Danio rerio: one gene and its partners. The protein of the gene in region 1 purifies or fractionates together with the protein of each later gene. This does not show direct contact. Links are inferred from orthologs where the notes say so. Each region holds a gene or a part of one and is shown on either strand. Other genes may lie near its edges.

What was found.
Region 2: the proteins of gosr1 (region 1) and bet1 purify together in Homo sapiens (affinity purification with mass spectrometry; 3 studies listed by BioGRID and IntAct, with this or other methods). This does not show direct contact. The link is inferred for Danio rerio from reciprocal best matches to the Homo sapiens genes GOSR1 and BET1.
Region 3: the proteins of gosr1 (region 1) and napab purify together in Homo sapiens (affinity purification with mass spectrometry; 3 studies listed by BioGRID and IntAct, with this or other methods). This does not show direct contact. The link is inferred for Danio rerio from reciprocal best matches to the Homo sapiens genes GOSR1 and NAPA.
Region 4: the proteins of gosr1 (region 1) and bet1l purify together in Homo sapiens (affinity purification with western blotting; 3 studies listed by BioGRID and IntAct, with this or other methods). This does not show direct contact. The link is inferred for Danio rerio from reciprocal best matches to the Homo sapiens genes GOSR1 and BET1L.
Region 5: the proteins of gosr1 (region 1) and stx5a purify together in Homo sapiens (affinity purification with western blotting; 3 studies listed by BioGRID, with this or other methods). This does not show direct contact. The link is inferred for Danio rerio from reciprocal best matches to the Homo sapiens genes GOSR1 and STX5.

What each region holds. Positions count from the first base shown.
Region 1 is NC_133190.1:27,282,424-27,285,940, forward strand, and holds part of gosr1 (Golgi SNAP receptor complex member 1), read left to right. Parts: intron 1-49; coding exon 50-161; intron 162-264; coding exon 265-355; intron 356-1,073; coding exon 1,074-1,181; intron 1,182-1,858; coding exon 1,859-1,950; intron 1,951-3,517. UniProt on the Homo sapiens protein: Involved in transport from the ER to the Golgi apparatus as well as in intra-Golgi transport. It belongs to a super-family of proteins called t-SNAREs or soluble NSF (N-ethylmaleimide-sensitive factor) attachment protein receptor.
Region 2 is NC_133194.1:43,532,853-43,537,082, reverse strand, and holds the start of bet1 (BET1 homolog), read left to right. Parts: upstream 1-1,423; 5' UTR 1,424-1,549; coding exon 1,550-1,568; intron 1,569-4,215; coding exon 4,216-4,230. UniProt on the Homo sapiens protein: Required for vesicular transport from the ER to the Golgi complex. Functions as a SNARE involved in the docking process of ER-derived vesicles with the cis-Golgi membrane.
Region 3 is NC_133193.1:47,639,270-47,642,786, forward strand, and holds part of napab (N-ethylmaleimide-sensitive factor attachment protein, alpha b), read left to right. Parts: intron 1-1,882; coding exon 1,883-1,999; intron 2,000-2,234; coding exon 2,235-2,281; intron 2,282-3,446; coding exon 3,447-3,517. UniProt on the Homo sapiens protein: Required for vesicular transport between the endoplasmic reticulum and the Golgi apparatus. Together with GNA12 promotes CDH5 localization to plasma membrane.
Region 4 is NC_133200.1:8,372,451-8,376,713, reverse strand, and holds the start of bet1l (BET1-like protein), read left to right. Parts: upstream 1-1,455; 5' UTR 1,456-1,505; intron 1,506-2,134; coding exon of another isoform or gene 2,135-2,404; 5' UTR 2,405-2,407; intron 2,408-2,571; exon of another isoform or gene 2,572-2,633; 5' UTR 2,634-2,704; intron 2,705-2,865; 5' UTR 2,866-2,903; coding exon of another isoform or gene 2,904-3,140; intron 3,141-3,224; coding exon of another isoform or gene 3,225-3,380; exon of another isoform or gene 3,381-3,412; intron 3,413-4,263. Other genes in the region: kcnj11l (potassium inwardly rectifying channel subfamily J member 11, like), read right to left, coding at 1,248-1,455, 2,135-2,404, 2,904-3,140, 3,225-3,380. UniProt on the Homo sapiens protein: Vesicle SNARE required for targeting and fusion of retrograde transport vesicles with the Golgi complex. Required for the integrity of the Golgi complex.
Region 5 is NC_133189.1:9,153,348-9,156,864, forward strand, and holds part of stx5a (syntaxin-5a), read left to right. Parts: intron 1-908; coding exon 909-976; intron 977-1,103; coding exon 1,104-1,159; intron 1,160-3,517. UniProt on the Homo sapiens protein: Mediates endoplasmic reticulum to Golgi transport.

The DNA of each region.
Region 1 (3,517 bases):
ATCATTTTCTAAGTGCAGAATGTTATCTCGTTTTATTGTGTGTTGACAGACCTGCGGAAACAGGCGAGGCAGCTGGAGAATGAGCTGGACCTGAAGCTTGTGTCCTTCAGTAAGCTCTGCACCAGTTACAGCAGCTCTCGGGACGGCCGCAGAGGAGACAGGTGTGACTGTCGCTACCGTAACTCGTACAGGAAATTTTGATGTTTGATAAATAATAAAAAGATGGTGGAGGTAATAACACAATTCTTTTCCCTCTGTTTTCAGTAGCTCCGATACAACACCTCTGCTCTGCAACTCCACTCAGGACAGAATGTTTGAGACCATGTCTGTGGAGATTGAGCAGTTACTTGCAAAAGTAAGGCTTTCAGTATGCCAGTTTTTGGTGCAGTATATAGGACACGTTTACACACTGCACCTAAATTGTGATGTCAGTCTACCTTTTAGGTTTTTTCCTTCGTTGCTTGTTTTACAAATCAAAAAGAGAGTCATAAGTACATGGCATATCAAAATTTTATTCTATTTACACTGACTGGTCTTCTTAATAACTTCAGTCTTAATCATAACTACCAAAAAAGAATTTATTTTGAGAATTTTAACCCTTTAAATTCAATTTGGGAAAAAATAGATATTATTTTCTATTTAATAAATGCAAAGCAAATGCGTTAATGTTTAGAAAAATATTTATTTTGGTTCATTATAATTTGTGCAGTGTCAGATTAGAAATATTATCCAATATTATATACAAGTTACATACAAACCACACTGATATTTGTGTAGAACACCCACATCATGATAGTTAGATCATCCGCAGTGTTTATTATAAAATATTTTTCATCATGCTGTGACAGAAAACTTATCTGTCTGATATTCTTCCCAGTTAGAAAAGACTAATACAACAAATCTGTTTAATACTTAATGATATTTTTAGTGATCATTCGCAATATCTTTACAGCAGATTTCAGTAATATTTTTTAATGATAGCAAATTGTTGAATTGCAATTAGTTGAAATTTGTTTAACATTATTAATTTGATCAGTGTCTTATTTGCTCTCACATTTTATTACTTTTTAAAGCTGACGGGGGTGAATGACAAGATGGCTGAATATACAAGCACACCGGGAGTAACGTCTCTGAACGCTGCTCTGATGCACACTCTCCAGAGACACAGAGACATCCTACAGGTGACTTTTTTTACGTCTTATTTCTTTAAATAAATCGCAGTTACATGATTGTTCATAAAAGCCAGGCAACTATTGTTATGTAACACTGTTCAAAAGCCTTGGGGTCAGATTTTTTCAAAAAAATTTATACTTTTATTTAACAAGAATGCTTTCAATTTATTAAAACTATTTAAATTAATAATGTAACAAAAGCTTATATGCTAAATAAATGCAGCAATTTGTTTTTTCTTTTTTATATTCATAAAATAAATCTTGAAAAATTCATCTAAAAAATATGAAGCAGCACAAATGTGTTTAGTACTGATAAAAATAACAATAACAATAATATTATTAATAACAACAATATTATTTAAATAAAAATTATTATAATAATAGTATTATAATAGTTGTTTCTTGAGCACAGTGTCTTTTTTTATTAATTATTTTTGAAGATTTTTGACAATGATGATGTGAAGCTGAAAATGCAACTTCCCATCACAAGAATAAATTATATTTTTAAATGAATTGCCAAAAAAAAAATTTATAAATGCAGCCTTGGTGAACAAAAGCACCACCCCCTATCTTTTGAACAGTAGTGTTTATGAAAACTTTATCTTAAAGATAATAAGAAATTTCCTTTATTTAACATTGCCTGGCTTCTAAATTTAATACCTCTTGTACCCTGTTTTCTTTTGTAGGACTACACACATGAATTTCATAAAACCAAATCAAACTTCATGGCAATCAGGGAGAGAGAGGACCTTTTGGGATCTGTGAGAAAAGACATTGAGTGAGTGTTCTTTTAAATTGTCTGAAAAGTGGCAGTTTTGAAAACCAACCTCATCTAATGTGTAGTTAAGCATATTTAAAAACACAGAATGATTTTCACCATAAAAATGATTTATGCCGATGAGTTGAATTGAGTTTCAAGTTAATAATTGTTTTATCCGCTTGTTAAGTGGTGACGTGTTTGTGACGTATGTAATACTGTTTCTGGGTCCAAGCCGCCATTCATTTGAGTGGAGAAATCATTCGTTTATGATCACGTTTTGTTCCTATCACACATTAAAGTTAATTTTATATAAAGTCATAGTGTACACAACAATCTCCGGGCTTGCTGCATATCAAATACCAAAATTGTAACAATTTATAAAAAAAAATAACTTTCTGGCCATCGGATATTAGGCATGGATATATATATTGCGATCGTGATTTTTGAAAGCATTAAATCGCTTTGTAAACGTTTATTATTACCATTTCATGAGTCCCCCATTCAGTTGAATAGAGCGCTTGAACCCGGAAGCCGCTTCGCATGACGTCACACTTAACAAGCGGATTGGCATGACAAATGTTAGAAATGTATAGCCAAAGCATTTATAAAGTTTGCATTAAAAGGAACATGCATGTATATGTATGTATATGTATATGTGTATATATATATATATGTGTGTGTATATATATATATATATATATATATATATATATATATATATATATATATATATATATATATATATATATATATATATATATATGTGTGTATATATATATATATATATATATATGTGTGTGTGTATATATATATATATATATATATATATATATATATATATATGTGTATGTATATATATATATATATATATATATATATATATATATATATATATATATATATATATATATATATATATATATATATATATATGTGTGTGTGTATATATATATATATATATATATGTATGTATGTATGTATATATATATATATATATATATATATATATATATATATATATATATATATATATATATATATATGTGTGTATATGTGTATATATATATATATATATATATATATATATATATATATATATATATATATATATATATATATACATACTAAACCAAGTAAACAATAGTAATAGTAGAAATCTGTTTCTCACATTCTGATCTTTGCAAAAAAAAAAAAAATTGAATTCTGCTAATTAAATGTCAAAATGTGAAAACTGAGATGAGGTTATATTACAGTGTCATTGTGGTCTATCTGATAAAGCACTGCACAAAGGCCCTGCAAGTTTTCTTTGGAGATCTACAGGCACAGATGTGATGTAGTTCTGGTTGTAACCCTGAGATCTTGACTGCAGGATTGGATAATGACTTATTGATCTGAGCTGCAATGCTCTGGCACCTCTGCAGGCCGCTTTTTTCATTTGTGCACCTTGAAATAGATGTTGTGGTACCATATATGATGAGAAAAACTCTTATTTTGCTATTTGCAATTACCACTGAACCCATTTTTTTCGGTCAAAATAAACTGGCCTTCAAACTGGATTTGACCTCAATCCATCTCTCGCAACACC
Region 2 (4,230 bases), on another chromosome or scaffold:
CTAAATAATGCCACACCACACAAAATTGAAATGTGTGTAAATGTAATGATTTAGAAGCATTTCTTGACACTGAGATTCATTCATTAATTTTCTTTTTGACTTAGTGCCTTTATTAATCTTGGGTTGCCACAGCGGAGTGAACTGCCAACTTATCCAGTATATGTTTTACACAGCGAATGCCCTTCCAGCTGCAACCCAACACTGGGAAACACCTATACACACTCAATCACACACATACACTATGGCCAATTTAAGCTTATCCAATTCACCTGTACCGCATGTCTTTGGACTTGTGGGGGAAATCAGAGCACCCAGAGGAAACCCACACAAACACGGGGAGAACATGCAAACTCCACACAAAAATGCCAACAGACCCAGCCAAGACTCGAACCAGCGACCTTCTTGATGTGAGGCAATCGTGCTACCCACTGTGCCAACGCGTCGCAAACATTGAGATGAAATGCTCAATTTTATATTGTTGAAAAAGAAATGAATATTCAAAAATTTGCATATTAAATGTAAAAAAATATTTGTGTATATATAGTCAGTGAAACACTTTTCAGTGTTTATTAAACTCATTTGCTCATAGTCTGTTTCTTTTAAAGTCTGGGTAAGTTTTTTTAAACTGTGAGGAAACCCACACTAACAATGGGGGAACATGCAAACTCATTCATTCCATTCATTTTCTTGTCGGCTTAGTCCCTTTAATAATCCGGAGTCGCCACAGCGGAATGAACCGCCAACTTATCCAGCAAGTTTTTACACAGCGGATGCCCTTCCAGCCGCAACCCATCTCTGGGAAACACCCAAACACACATTCACAAACACTCTCATACACTACGGACAATTTAGCCTACCCAATTCACCTGTACCGCATGTCTTTGGACTGTGGGGGAAACTGGAGCACCCGGAGGAAACCCACACCAACGCAGGGAGAACATGCAAACTCCACACAGAAACGCTAACTGACTCAGCCGGGACTCAAACCAGCGTCCTTCTTGCTGTGAGGCACTGAGCCACCATGTCGCTCCCATATAAGGCTTTGTACTATCAGTTATAAAAAGTAAAACAGTTCTTTGAAAGAACCTCAGAATGAAGATAAATTCAGAATTGAGAGAAAGTCTATACATTTTCTATAAAATAAATAATAGTGTCACAGATTTTTGAAAATCTGACTTGTCTTAGAGTCTGAACTGTGAGAAAGTCTACAGCTGTTTGCAATTTTTCAATTAAATTAACCCTGCAAGTCGTGTCAACTTACTTTTGAGAAATGAAGTCACAGTTTGCTGAAGAAAATGTTAGAATTATGACAAATAAAGACAAGAATTAACCGCAATACTCGCAGTAAAAACTTCAGTACCCAGAAGCCCATGTAACTTAAACGCGTATCGTTTAATCCTCTGCGGCTTCCGTAAGAGGTGTCGTGGCGCTTGTGAAGTTGGAGGGGGAAAGTACAGATTCTCTAAATATCAACATTAGCGAATATTTGTCACATTATTTTACAGACTGCAGTGATCGTATCCACGTCATATAGATTACTGGGTTGACAATGAGGCGCGCTGGTTTGGGTAAGTTTGCGTTTTTATGTGTCGTATTGCTTGAAGCTTATGCTAAGCTAAAATCTCAACTCAATTAGAAAACTTAACGTTATTGGTCACAGTTTATGACAGTAAGCAATCTCTGAATGACCAAATCATCACCCACACATTAACGTTAAATCCAGGTGTGGAGAATTAACGTTAACGTTAAATGGATAAATAACGTTTATTAACGTTCTTGCAGTAACTAGCAACTCCTATTTCTCTATTTCACCATCGTTGTTATTGAGGTGAAGTTGTTTTTATATTCGAACATTTGTTCTGTGACAGCTCCCTGTATTGTTTACCTTTATGCTAGTTTGAATATTCGGACTGAAATCACGTGTAAGTATGACTACAAAACAACACTATATAATTTACTGTGAACAATGTTTTTAATAGTCTGCTAATATAATTTCCCTATTTAGAACTTCCAAATAATACTTTTCTGAAATCATATTATTAAGGAGAAAGTTCGAATGTGTGAATTTAAAACCAGCTTTACGTCAGTGGCGTTATTTATTAATCATGTTTACATATATATTTATATCATACAGAAAAGCAACTTCTGTGTATGAACAACACGAGATACTGTAACAGCATAAATATGACACATCTAAGCTGAAATTAAAAAACCTTCTATTCGAAGTAGGGCTGGGCGATATTAAAAAAGAATTCAAACTCGTTAATTATTTTCCATATGAAGCATAACATCATATATTTCAATACAAGTTGGCAATGCTTCCAGATTTAAAATAGTACTTTAACATTGACTGAAGCCACAAAAATAAGAGTCCATTAGATCAGTAGTTCTCAAATTAGGGGTCGGGACCCCTTGAGGGGTCGCAGGACAATGAAAGGAAGGGTCGCCTGGGGATTTCCAAACATCTATTTATTTTTATTAAACCGGAATTACCATATTGTAACCTACTGAAGAGAAAAAAAGTCATTTAGAGTTACTATAAACTATATAATAACTTATAGTTACTAGTTCTATTGGATTGTGACCCCTGTAGTAATTACATAATATTAAAGACACAGCAATAGCATCGGATGCAGCAGATTGATTTTATACCTGCTTAAACTTTCTGGCCCATTTACAGCACTGAGATACATTTTAAAAAATTACACAAAGAATAAACCTGGGTGTATTGGCGTGTGTGCACCATTGCATGCAAGGTTTCTGTATTTATAACAACCTCAGATGATATTGGGGGTCGCGAGTCACTGGCATTGTCATTTTGGGGGTCGCGGGCTGAAAAGTTTGGGAACCCCTGCAATAGATGGCAGAACATTTTTTTCCAATAAATTTCCGTGGCTGAAAATTCGGTGCATCTCTAATATCAACACCCTTTTGGATTCCCATTGTTGCACATTTCTGCTGTGTGATTTGCTCTTAGATCAATATAGAGTAGAAAAGTCAAGAGATTGTCATTGTTATTGACAAAAATTTTATTGTGATTCGATATAATATTGTTTATCGGCCCAGCACTAATTTGAACAGTAAAGTATGATTGATAAAGCAAATAAAACCCATTTTAAACTTGATAAAATGAGGCACCAAGCAAATAATCTACCTTTTAATTTAAAAAAACATTCATTATTTTGCAAATTTCAACATTTTGTCTCATGTAGACAATCAAGATTTTATCCAGAGTTTTTACTTTTCGATTTTAAATAGTTTCTGATGAACATTTCAATCTTATTTGTTTAGGTTTTTCAAATTCACTTCCAACTTTAGAGAATATTTGATCAATCAAATCAGTGCATACTTGTCAATTACTCTTAAAGGGATAGTCACCCCAAACAATTTTTATATTTCACAAAAGAAGAAATTTTAAACAGAGCTAAAAACCTGTAACCATTGACTTCCATAGTATTTGTTTTTGCTACTATGGAGGTGAATGGTTACAGGTAGCATTGGCACAATACTGGAATTCGATACCAATCGGTACTGAAATTTTACAAACGTCCATTTCCTGCTTACATTTGAGCGCTGTTGAGCCCATTCTTAAACACTGTTGATTTGCTGTTGTGTTCACATGCTCAACAGAAATGACTGTGATTGGCCGTGAAGGTCATTAGTTCACCAAACTCAACACTGTTTACTGAGTGTAAACACAGATACAGGGACACAAGCATTTTAAAGTCACGTCAATCAGCTGGTTTGTCTATAACTTCACATACAAGCGATCTGCTGATGAATTGCGGCTTTTAAATGCTCCAGTGTCTGTATCTGTGTTTACACTCAGTGAACAGCAGTGAGATTGGTGAACTAATGACCTTCACTGCCAATCACAGTCATTTTTGTTGAGCATGTGAACACAATGGCAAATCAGCTGTGTTTAAGAACGTAATCAACAGTGTTTAAATCTTAGCAAGAGATGGATGCTTTTTTAAGCTTCAGTATCGATTGGTATTGAATTCCAGTATCGTGACAACACTAGCTACTAGTTTGAAACATTTAAAGGGCGAGTAAACATTGACAGATTTCATTTTGTCGTGAACCAGTTCTTTAAGGCAACATTTCAGTTTACTGTAATAAGATTTATTATTTTTAGTACTAAATACTTGATTTTAAATGTTTTTTTTTTTAAATTCCGTTGGATTTGACCTGACCTGAATGTTTCTTGTACAGGAGAAGGTGGCCCTC
Region 3 (3,517 bases), on another chromosome or scaffold:
AAACTGCGAATAAGAAGGTGGATTCAGATTCGTCCCTCCTTAACGCAAACACAACAGCAGTCTGGTAGTGACTAAGCTGCTTTTTTCAGGGTTAATTATTGTGATATTGTAACGGTGGCTTCATGTTTGATATGCATCATGTATAAATGTCATATCCCCTTCAAGAGGACCTTTGAGATGTGGGAGATATGGGAGAACAGTTCAGTTCAGGTCGCTCTACTGCTGTATCATTCTTTTATTTCAATAATGTAACATTTTATTTGTGAGGGATGTTTGAGTGTGTCTTTTTCTTTTCCTTTTGCCTACTCATTGTCGTCAACTGGCATGTATGTAGTCGACAGCACTTGGGAGAAACGCATAAAGGCCGATAGGAAGAGCGAAATAGTTTGTCTTCTTTTTTTTTCATCCCTGTCTCCGGGTAAATGCGGGACGCCAGGCACCCGTCACAACATCGACAGCAACAGAGAAATACTGTAGACTGTAATAGACTGTAGGGAGAAAGCTCTGGAGACAGATGGCATTTCATGCCATGTTCAGCCTTATAATCTTAAAATGTAAGCACAAATCAGCTATTTTGTCATCAGTAGAAATTACGCTAAAGAGAATCATTCAAATACTAACTCTTAAATTACGTTGGTGAATTAGTAACGTCTTTTGCTGTTCTGACGTCAGCTGCAGATGTGAATGAATGGTGGAAGAAAGTAGTTCCTCATACAAAAGGGTATTAGACTCTGTGTTTGATTTTCTTTTTTTTAATTGTGCCGTGGAACTGTTGTATAAATGCAATATCACACTCATAGCAGTGCGATGTGGCTGTATATCAGCACTGGTGGGACGCTAAGGCCTGCGGCCTCGTGCCAACGCACGCCTCCCACCAGTGCTGATATACAGCCATATCGCACTGCTATGAGTGTGATATTGCTCTTATATAAATCATAAACACAAATATAACAGTTTAAACATATGAGATGTGTGCAGAGATTAATGCAAATATGCAGTGTGTGTGTGTTGTTGCACTTGTAGATCTGAGTCATATATACTAGAGTCATGCACTGCTGATGTTGTTGAGACTAACAATTTCAGATTATAGCAATTATAAGTTGCACATTTTATTTTGATATGATTTAATTGGCCATTATTAGATTTAGTCATCATATGTATGAAGCACAATTTATTATAATCCTTTATTTGGTGTCCTTTTTACACACTTTACATGTCCTTACTATTTTAATTACAAGTAATTATGCATAATAACATGCAACTAAACCTAGCCAGCATTCTAACCCTAACCCTCAGCTGGTCAGAATAAAATTATTTATTTGGTCAAACTGTCAAGATGTAGAATGCTGTGATTAACAACTTGATATGCCCAGCAGGGCGGCACAGTGGCTCAGTGGTTAGCACTGTCGCCTCACAGCAAGAAGGTCACTGGTTGAATTGGGTAAACTAAATTGGCCGAAGTGTGAGTGTGTGTGTGTGAATGTGAGAGTTTATTGGTGTTTCCCAGTGCTGGGTTGTTGCTGGAAGGGTATCCTCTGTGTAAAACATAAGCTGGAATAATTGGCAGTTCATTCCGCTGTGGTGACCTCTGATAAATCAAAGACTAAGCTGAAGGAAAATTTATAAATATACACAGCAGAACATCACATTCGTCCTCGCCAATGCTCAACCCAAATAACGAATATAGTTCTGCAAATATCTGCAATTGCACATATCAAACAGAGATGGCGATAAAGACACACAAACCTAAAGTTTGCAGTAATAAACATTGTATTGATTTGACTTCATTTAAAAGTATAACTGGATCAAAACATATTTAAGTTGTGAAAATATTAACGTCCACACTAATGTTTGTGTTCTCTTGTGTGAATGTGTTTGTCAGCTGCAGGAAACGCTTTTTCTCAGGCGGCTCTTCTACACCTGCAGATGCAGAGTAAACATGACGCAGCCACAAACTTCATTGATGCCGGCAATGCCTTCAAAAAGTCAGACCCCCAAGGTATATTTTCCTGACTTCACATTCATTGTTTTACACTTCTAAACATCCAGCTGCCAGCAACTAGTATTGGCTATCAGTCAATAAGCATCCATGCACAGTCATTTCAATATATATATATATATATATATATATATATATATATATATATATATATATATATATATATATATATATATATAAAATATAAATATGCACTTTATCGAAAGCTGAAAGCTGACTGTCATTCTTTCCACAGAGGCCATAAACTGCTTGAACAGGGCCATTGAGATTTATACAGACATGGTAAGACTATTTCTGAAATCTGAGTTTGTAGACAGTGTTTAAATATTAGTAGAGCTGCTTGTGTGCTTCACAATAATTTAGACTCTTTTCATTTGTAAAAAACGATTTTCGAAATTGTTCAATATATACATGGCTGCAAGTTAGTTGACACGCCACTAGAGGGCATAGTAACATCATTCATGTGTTTTAGTATGCACTATACCAGGGGTGCTCAAACTTTTTCTTATGAAGGGCCAAAAACCAAACTTGACTGAGGGCTGTGGGCCGAATGTAAATATAGCAAACTGTATTGCATTATAGTTGTCATGAATAATAAAAAAAAAAAAAAAAAACATTGTTTTATATGAACTAATGCAGTATGATTAAAAAAATAATATATACGCTTTATAATCAACTTATAACAGTCAATCACGTTTATTACACAATGGAGTTCAGTGCCCAATACACAAGTCAAGCGTTTTTGGGCATTGTCCTCTATTTGTGGAGAGACAATATTTACATTTTTGAAAAGCTGATTCATTTACGACATTTAATTGAAATGTTTAATTTCAGTTTTCTTTTTTATAGCTCAACAATAAAACAAACAAACAAAAAAGGTTACATTCAATTCAAAATGAAACTCTCTGTTAAAGACATTCTGTACATTTAGGATCAAGAAAAGAACTTTTGTAGTTATAGCTTAAAAATCTAAAAATTTAAGCAACAGTTTTTAAAAAGGACGTAATTTTATAGGTCATTTAACATTTCAGTCCTGTATAGACTTTATATATAACTCTTTAAATCAAAACTAAAATTGTAAAATTCTTTATTACTTTATTCTAGATGTTTAAGAAGCTAAAGATGAAATGCTGTTTTGGAAAATTTTGCCACGATTTGCAGTTAATAACTAGAAGCTGCTTATTAACGTTAAAAAAAGACATTGCCTTTGTGCTTTTGTTAGTGTTATCAATATAATCTGTTACTTTTAAAAGCCATTCATTGAAAGAATTTACAGATGAACTAGATAGAAATTTGAGATAAGGCAAGTCAAGTCGTTTCCTTTAGGTGAAATATCAGTGGTTTTTATCTTGCCTGTTTGTTGCTGGCCTTGGTGAAATGAAAACAGCCCACTAGAGGATCCTCTAAAACACTGTGCTTTCTTTGTTTTGTGTTTCACAACTTTCAGGGCCGATTTACAATCGCAGCAAAACACCACGTCACCATTGCTGAAGTTTATGAGACTGAACTGGTCGACAT
Region 4 (4,263 bases), on another chromosome or scaffold:
CTACTTAAGGTAATTTTTTACATTCTTCAGCAAACACTGAGAAAATAGGTAAACATGTTTTAAAGCATTGTGTAATCATTATTATCAATAATAAAAATGTCTTGCAGGTAATTCCAAAATAAGTGGCATTAATACGGTGAAAATTTCATAGTAAAATATTCTAGAAAGCCTAAAATTATGACAGATAAGGCATTAGAAGTAGAGTATGTTAACAGGGACACCAATAGTCCGACATTAATAAGATTAAGACAATACTCTTAATAAGAGTCTACTATGTCAGAACTTAATTTTCAATTAGTAATATGCATTACAGGCCTGTAGCCAGCCTGGTGAAGGGTGTGGATCTTTTTTCTTAAAAAGTTGACCATTTTGCATTTATTCGCCTAATTTTTTTCTATGTAATTATGAGGTTAAAATAAGTTGCATTTTTGTAACATTTTAAGCACTATTTTTTTGCTGGATTAGCTTGTTTGATGGTCATCATAACCACATTTTTGATGTTAAGGTTTACATCAATTATCATTTACATCATATACATCAATTGCATCATTAGAAAAAATAGGAATTTGTTAAAGTTTTAAATTAAAAACTTTAGCCTATTGTTATTTAAATATCATTAACATAAAAAGCAAACCGTCCCGCACATTCAACTTTCCTCAGTCATGCTGACGCAACAACCAACACAGGATTCCACATGGTGTTAAAGCCTTTTTCCATGGATTATTTTCACAACTTATTATGACATAGTAGTTATGGGCCTTTGTCAATGAGGGGTGGGTCTTCTGAACCACCTGAAACCCTCCCCTGGCTACAGGCCTGCTTTGTTAATAACTTAATTTAGACAACTTTAAAGGCAGCTTTCCCAATATTTAGATATTTTTAAACCCTCGGATTCCAGATTTTGAAATAGTTGCATCTCAGCATCAATGACAAATGTATTTATTCAGCTTTCAGATCATGTATAAATCTCAATTTCCCAAAATTGACACTTATGATTGGTTTTGTACTCTAGGGTCACATATTAGAGAGCTTATCTATGATAATCCCTTAAAAATACTTTGGCTTTTAAACAAAACAATTACATTAAGCAGACTCTATTCAATCAAACATTCATTCTCCTTCGGCTTAGTCTCTTATTTATCAAGGGTCACCACAGGGAAATAAACCGCCAACTATTCCACCATATGATTTATGCAGCAGATGCTCTTCTAGCCACAACCCAGTACTGGAAAGTAGACTCTATTCACCTTCTAAAATGACAATGATCTCCAGATCTTCGGTAGCCATTGACTGCGCTGAGAGCTCGTACAGTGGACTCCCTCTGTCAATGGTGTGACTGATAATGAGTGGAGAGACGAGGAATATGCCGTTGCTCCTGAGAGGGTTTTCCACCTGGATATCTAACTGACAGACGGGAATCACTTCGCCCTCCGCTGTCACTGTCCGCCGAATAACCTGAGGAGCAAATATCAAGATCAGGATGGAATCAAACTCAAGAATATCTGGTACAGACATGATATATAAAGCATTTTTGGCTCACACTTCACATAATTTGTGTTTGTTATGATAATCAATGTGTATGAAAATCACTCTCCATGTCGAATTTCTAAATTCTTGCATTCAAGATGCCTGAATAGATTTCCATTCTGCCAAGTAATGGCAGAATTTTAATTTTAAGGTGAACTGTCCCTTTAAGGCAGAATTTATACTATCTTTAAAGCTACATATCTGCCATCATTTTGACATCAAATGCCTTGCTTTTATGTTGTCTGAACCTGGTGATAAAATAATGATTAAATAACCTTAGTTTGAAGGACATATTAAAGATCTATAGCAGTGTTTCTCAACCACGTTCCTGGAGGACCACCAACACTGCATGTTTTGGATGTCTCCTTTGTCCGTCAAACCAATTACAGGTCTTTCAGTCTCTGCTAATGAGCTGACGGTCTGAATCAGGTGTGTTTGGTTAAGGAGACATGGAAAATGTGCAAAGCGTGTGGTCCTCAAAGAAACGTGGTTGAGAAACACTGATCTAAAGGACTAAAATGAAGAACTCTCTAATAGAAGGTTCTGTGGATGTTAAGGTTCTTCAATGATTTAAATACATCAGTAAAGAAATAAACACATCTGTCACCTGCAGCTGTATGTTGGCAGAGATGATCATGCTTTTTCTCAGATCTCCAACACGAAACATCAATGTCGGTCTGCCATTCCTTGGGGCAATGACTGCGTTGCGGGAGAAGATGAGGGTTTCTGCTCTGCGGTTGGCTTGAGCTGTCTTCATGAACACACAGCCAAGCATGATGGCGTTGATGATCAGGCCCAGAATGTTCTGGATGATGAGGACTATGATGGCCAGCGGACACTCCTCTGTCACCATTCGTCCTCCGAAACCAATAGTTACCTGGTATTACAAATGCTTCATTATCTTACAGACGATTTAAAGGGGTCATGAACTGTGAAACCTAAAAATCACCTAATTTTTTTTTTTTTACATATAAGAGCTCATAGTTCTCTAAAAATATCCTGTAAGTTTTAGAACTGAACACTTTGTGGTTCCTCTAAATACAGATTATATTGAAGGCAGTCTGAAGATAACAGATTCTTGAATGTTCTACTCTATGATGTAATAGAGTGGATAAGCCCCGCCTCCACAGAAGATTGACGTCAACTTCTACTTCACATCCTGTTCAGCGCTGTTAAGGTATAGTTTACCAAAAATATTACATTGTTTATTCTCCCTCAGTTTTGACAACTAGTATTACGTTTCAGTCAGTCCAATCACAAGTGGATGACATTAAATAAAAATGTATGCGGAGTCTAAAATATTTAGATTACTGAAAATGCATGTCATAATAATTCTAGATGGAAACAGAGTCATATCTATCCAGATTGATCCTTACCTGCACTTCAATGGAGAACAGAAAAGCAGAAGTGAAGGAGTGAATGGATGTGACGCACGGCACAGGTCCGGGTTCATTGGGATCTCGAGGTTCTAGATCTCCATGAGCGAATGCCAGGAGCCACCACACCATGGCAAAGAGCATCCAGGAGCAGAGGAACGCTGAGGTGAAGATGAGCAAAGAATGCTGCCATTTCAGGTCCACCATGGTGGTGAACACATCTTGGAGAAACCGACCCTGAGAAGCAATAATCTCTTATGAACACTGCAACTGAGTCAATTGAAACTTTTCTTTAGCCTAGAACTGATAGGAAAATCTCACCTGTTCTCGAATATTCTTGTGGGCTACATTACATGAGCCGCTCTTGGTGATAAAACGTGCCCTTTGTGACTTTGGCCGGATGCGGCTGGGTTGTGCATCTTCAGCGAGTCGCGTTAACAAGAACCCATCAGGCAAAAGACCTTTGCGGGCCAACATTATGACAATTTGTGGCCAATTGGTGCTCCGCACTGTAGAAGGAATTTAAAAAAAAGAACTAAAATATACAGTAACACTAAGGGTTTCTTGAAAAATAAAGAAAAAATTATGAAGTACATTTCAGTTAATTTAGTTTATCTTTAATTCTTTAGCCCTTTTTACAATGTAAACAATATACAAAGCAGTTTGACATTACATTTTATCATTAATTCATCATTAAATTTAGTGTTTTGTTTTACTTATACTGCTAAAAAAATAATAATAATAAATTAGGTTTACAGTATATATGCATTGAATTGCATAATTTTAAAATCTTTTACCTAAAGGTAACGTTTTGCCTAATAATAATGCAAAAGGTTACATTTATAAATTACATAATGAATAAGGTTATAATAACATTATAATAAAGGTTACATTAATAAATTATATTATTAGGTTATAATAAATAAAAATCGAAGAATTTTTGATGTAACTCGTAATATAATAGTTAAAGCTTAATTTTAATTATTTTTTTTGTTTATTTTATGCATAAACAGATAACTCATAAATTGTCTTTTGTTAGTTGCACAGATATCAAAGCATATTCATAATTTTAAACAATTACATTTATATTTCTTTTAGTTTTTATATTTAACTAATTTAAAATATAATTATTTAATTAAATAAATGGTAATCGTTTATTAAGGGAAAAACTGGCATGAAACTGTCTAATCACGAGCGACAATGCTATTTTGAATAGTTTAGTTTCACTCAAACATAAAATATATACATGTATTATTTCAAATATATACATATATTATAACGTTTTATCATAATTTGGTTGTACATCATCAAAGAAGCGCGTAAGCTCATCGATTATTTTACATATTTCAAAGCAATTTTT
Region 5 (3,517 bases), on another chromosome or scaffold:
CGTTTCTCACATTTTTCAAAATGCCTTCATTTGTTTTTAAAAGTTACTAGAAACTCTTATAGGTTTGAAACAAGTAAAGGGTGAGTAAATAATGATAGTTTTCAGTTTTGGGTCAACTATACCTTAAAGAGCAACAGAAATTTCCAGAGAAGAAGTTGTATAAGAAAGAGAACTTGTGTATAGAGTCTGCCTAGGGATTGGAATAAAACAGCGTTTTAGAATGAAAACGATACATGTCCACACTGGCGTTTCACCTAGCGATTCTGAACAGCTCTCTGTCCACTCTACACTGCTGAAAACGCACATCACCTGACCACACACATACACTGGCATGTGCTGCAGCGTATGCGTGTGACTGAGCTCCAGGCAGTCAGCGTGCTTTTAACACACCTCAATATTTTTGGTGTCTGTTAAGTTGTTAATATCAAAATGAAAATAGACAGTTTCTTATATCACGTTTTCATTTTATTGTTAAGATAGTGAAACCGTGTAGCCAGGGTGTTGTGAATGAGGTTATAAAGTACACTGATCCCTTTGAAGATTTACCCGACGTGTCCTTCACCATCACTGGCCCTTTTCCTTCTGTAATTAACCACAAATTATTCTTGGTAGAATTAATGTGAGCTGCTCTTTTCCACATGTCATAGGTGATGAACATGAAAGGAAATTTAGGCGATGAATTGAAATATACTAGTATTCTAAGATCTAAGTTCTGATATCGGAGTTAAACAAGCTCATCTAAAATAAAGACAGTTCCTTTGGCAGCATGTGCTAAAAGGGATGGTTCACCCAAAAATTTTACCCCACCCGCTATTTACTCACCCTCGAGTGGTTCCAAACATTTGAGTGGTTCCACGTACTACATTTGCTGGCATAACTTGTCTTAATTTGTTTTTCTGTCTTTTCAGAATGGAACTCACTCTAAACCTGCCAATAATGCCCTTAAACAGCGCAGTGACTTCACTCTCATGGCCAAGTAAGAGACATTCAGATCAATGTTTCTCTTTGGATTTTGCCTAGTGTATTTTTACTTCAGTTCAACTGCGTCTTGTCCTGCTTGAATCTTTGACCCCCTGACATCTGGTGTTGTTTCTTTGTAACAGGAGAATTGGGAAAGACTTGAGCAACACATTTGCTAAGCTTGAAAAGCTTACAATCTGTGAGTAACATATCAGTAAAAAAGTGTACAGTGTAGTTTGTGAAATTAATTAACACAGTACACATATTCTGTGCATGTCCTTCCTTCATTTTTCCTTATAGTCTACAACCCGCACATGTGTTTTGACAAAAAGAATAATAAAGTATATAAAGAAAACTTTGTACTTAACTTATTAAAAATTGGTATTTTAACAAATCTAAAACTTGTATATCAGTTCTTTATGTTGGTTCTTATGCAACTCTCTAAAATGTAAAAAAAAAAAAAAAAAATATATATATATATATATATATATATATATATATATATATATATATATATATATGCTCTCTAAGATTGCATTTGTTTATTTGCAAAATTCAGTAAAATGTACAGTATTTAGCTTTTTGTTTAAATTGGGTGTCATCTGATTAAATAATACGTTTTTTAATTATTGTGAAGCAAAGCTATTATTAATTTAGCACTTACAGAAAGTATTCTTACATACTGATTTGCTGAAAAATAACATTTCTGATCAATGTTGAAAATAGGTTTTTGTGGAAACTTTTTTTAGTATTCATAATACTTAATAGAAAGTATAAAAGAAAGTATTTTAACCAATATTTTGTACTACTATGAATCACTTTACAATCACTGATTCAATTGTATTTAATACGTTATTGTTAAATGTGCGTGCGTATGTTTTTATATATATATATATATATATATATATATATATATGTATGTATGTATGTATGTATGTATGTATGTATGTATGTATGTATGTATGTATGTATGTATGTATGTATGTATGTATGTATGTATGTATGTATGTATGTATGTGTGTATGTATGTATGTGTGTGTGTATGTATGTGTGTATGTGTGTGTGTATGTGTGTGTGTGTGTGTGTGTGTATGTGTTTATATATGTTTATATATATATATATATATATATATATATATATACACACACACACACATATATGTATATGGATGGATGGATGGATGGATGGATGGATGGATGGATGGATGGATGGATGGATGGATAGATAGATAGATAGATAGATAGATAGATAGATAGATAGATAGATAGATAGATAGATAGATAGATAGATAGATAGATAGATAGATAGATAGAGGGTCATTTATATGGATACACCTTAATTAAATGGGAATGGTTGGTAATATTAACATCCTGTTTGTGGCACATTAGTATATGTGAGGGGGCCAGTAAATAACTCATGAAAGAATAAAGTTATGTTAAAACCAAGCACACCATTGTTTTTGCTGTAAAATTTCCCAATAAGTTTAATAAGATGTATCCATATAAATGGCCCACCCCGTATGTATATATGTGTACATGCACTACCTGACAAAAGTCTCGTCGACGATCCCAGTTTTAAGAGCAACAAATAATAACTTGTTTTCTAGTTTGGATCATTTGGAAAAGTGGCAGAAGGTGGATTTTTCAGATGAATCATGTGTTGAACTGCATTCCAATCATCACAAATACTGCATAAGACCTAATTAAACCTGCATGGACCCAAGATTCTCACAGAAATCAGTCAAGTTTGGTTCAGTATGGGGACGTGCGAGAGATCTGCAGAGTGGATGGCAGCATCAACAGTCTGAGGTCCAAGACATTTGCGCTGCCCATTACAAACCACAGGAGAGGGCAAGTTCTTCAGCAGGATAGCGCTCCTTCTCATACTTCAGCCTCCATATCAAATTTCCTAAAAGCAAAGCAGGTCAAGGTGCTCTAGGATAGGCCAGCCCAGTCACCAGACATGAACAATATTGAGAATGTCTAGGGTAAGATGAAGGAGGTGGCATTGAAGATGAATCCTATGAATCTTGATAAACTCTGGGAGTCCTGCAAGAACACTTTCTTTGCCATTCCATATGACTTTATTATTAAGTGATTTGAGTCATTGCAGAGCTGTATGAATGCAGTCCTCCTAGCTCATGGGAGTCATACACAATATTCATTGTTTTTCCACTGCACCATGACTGATACTGTACATTATTTCTGTTAAGTGACAAGACTTTTGTCTAAGCAAAGTCAGACCTTACTGTCCTAATTAAATAATTAAAGATCAAGGCTTCATCATATTATTATTATTATAAAATAAGTGTAATCTAGAGGCCTTTGCTTTTCATGCAAGTCATGTCTGAATCCAAATGATCAACTGGAAGTCAAGTTATTAATTGTTGTTCCTAAAACTAGGATAGGCGACAAGACTTTTGTCAGGTAAGCTATATATATATATATATATATATATATATATATATATATATATATATATATATATATATATATATATAAATATAAATTCATTTACCAACAAAAAAAAAATCCAATCTTTGTAATGTTGACCTGTT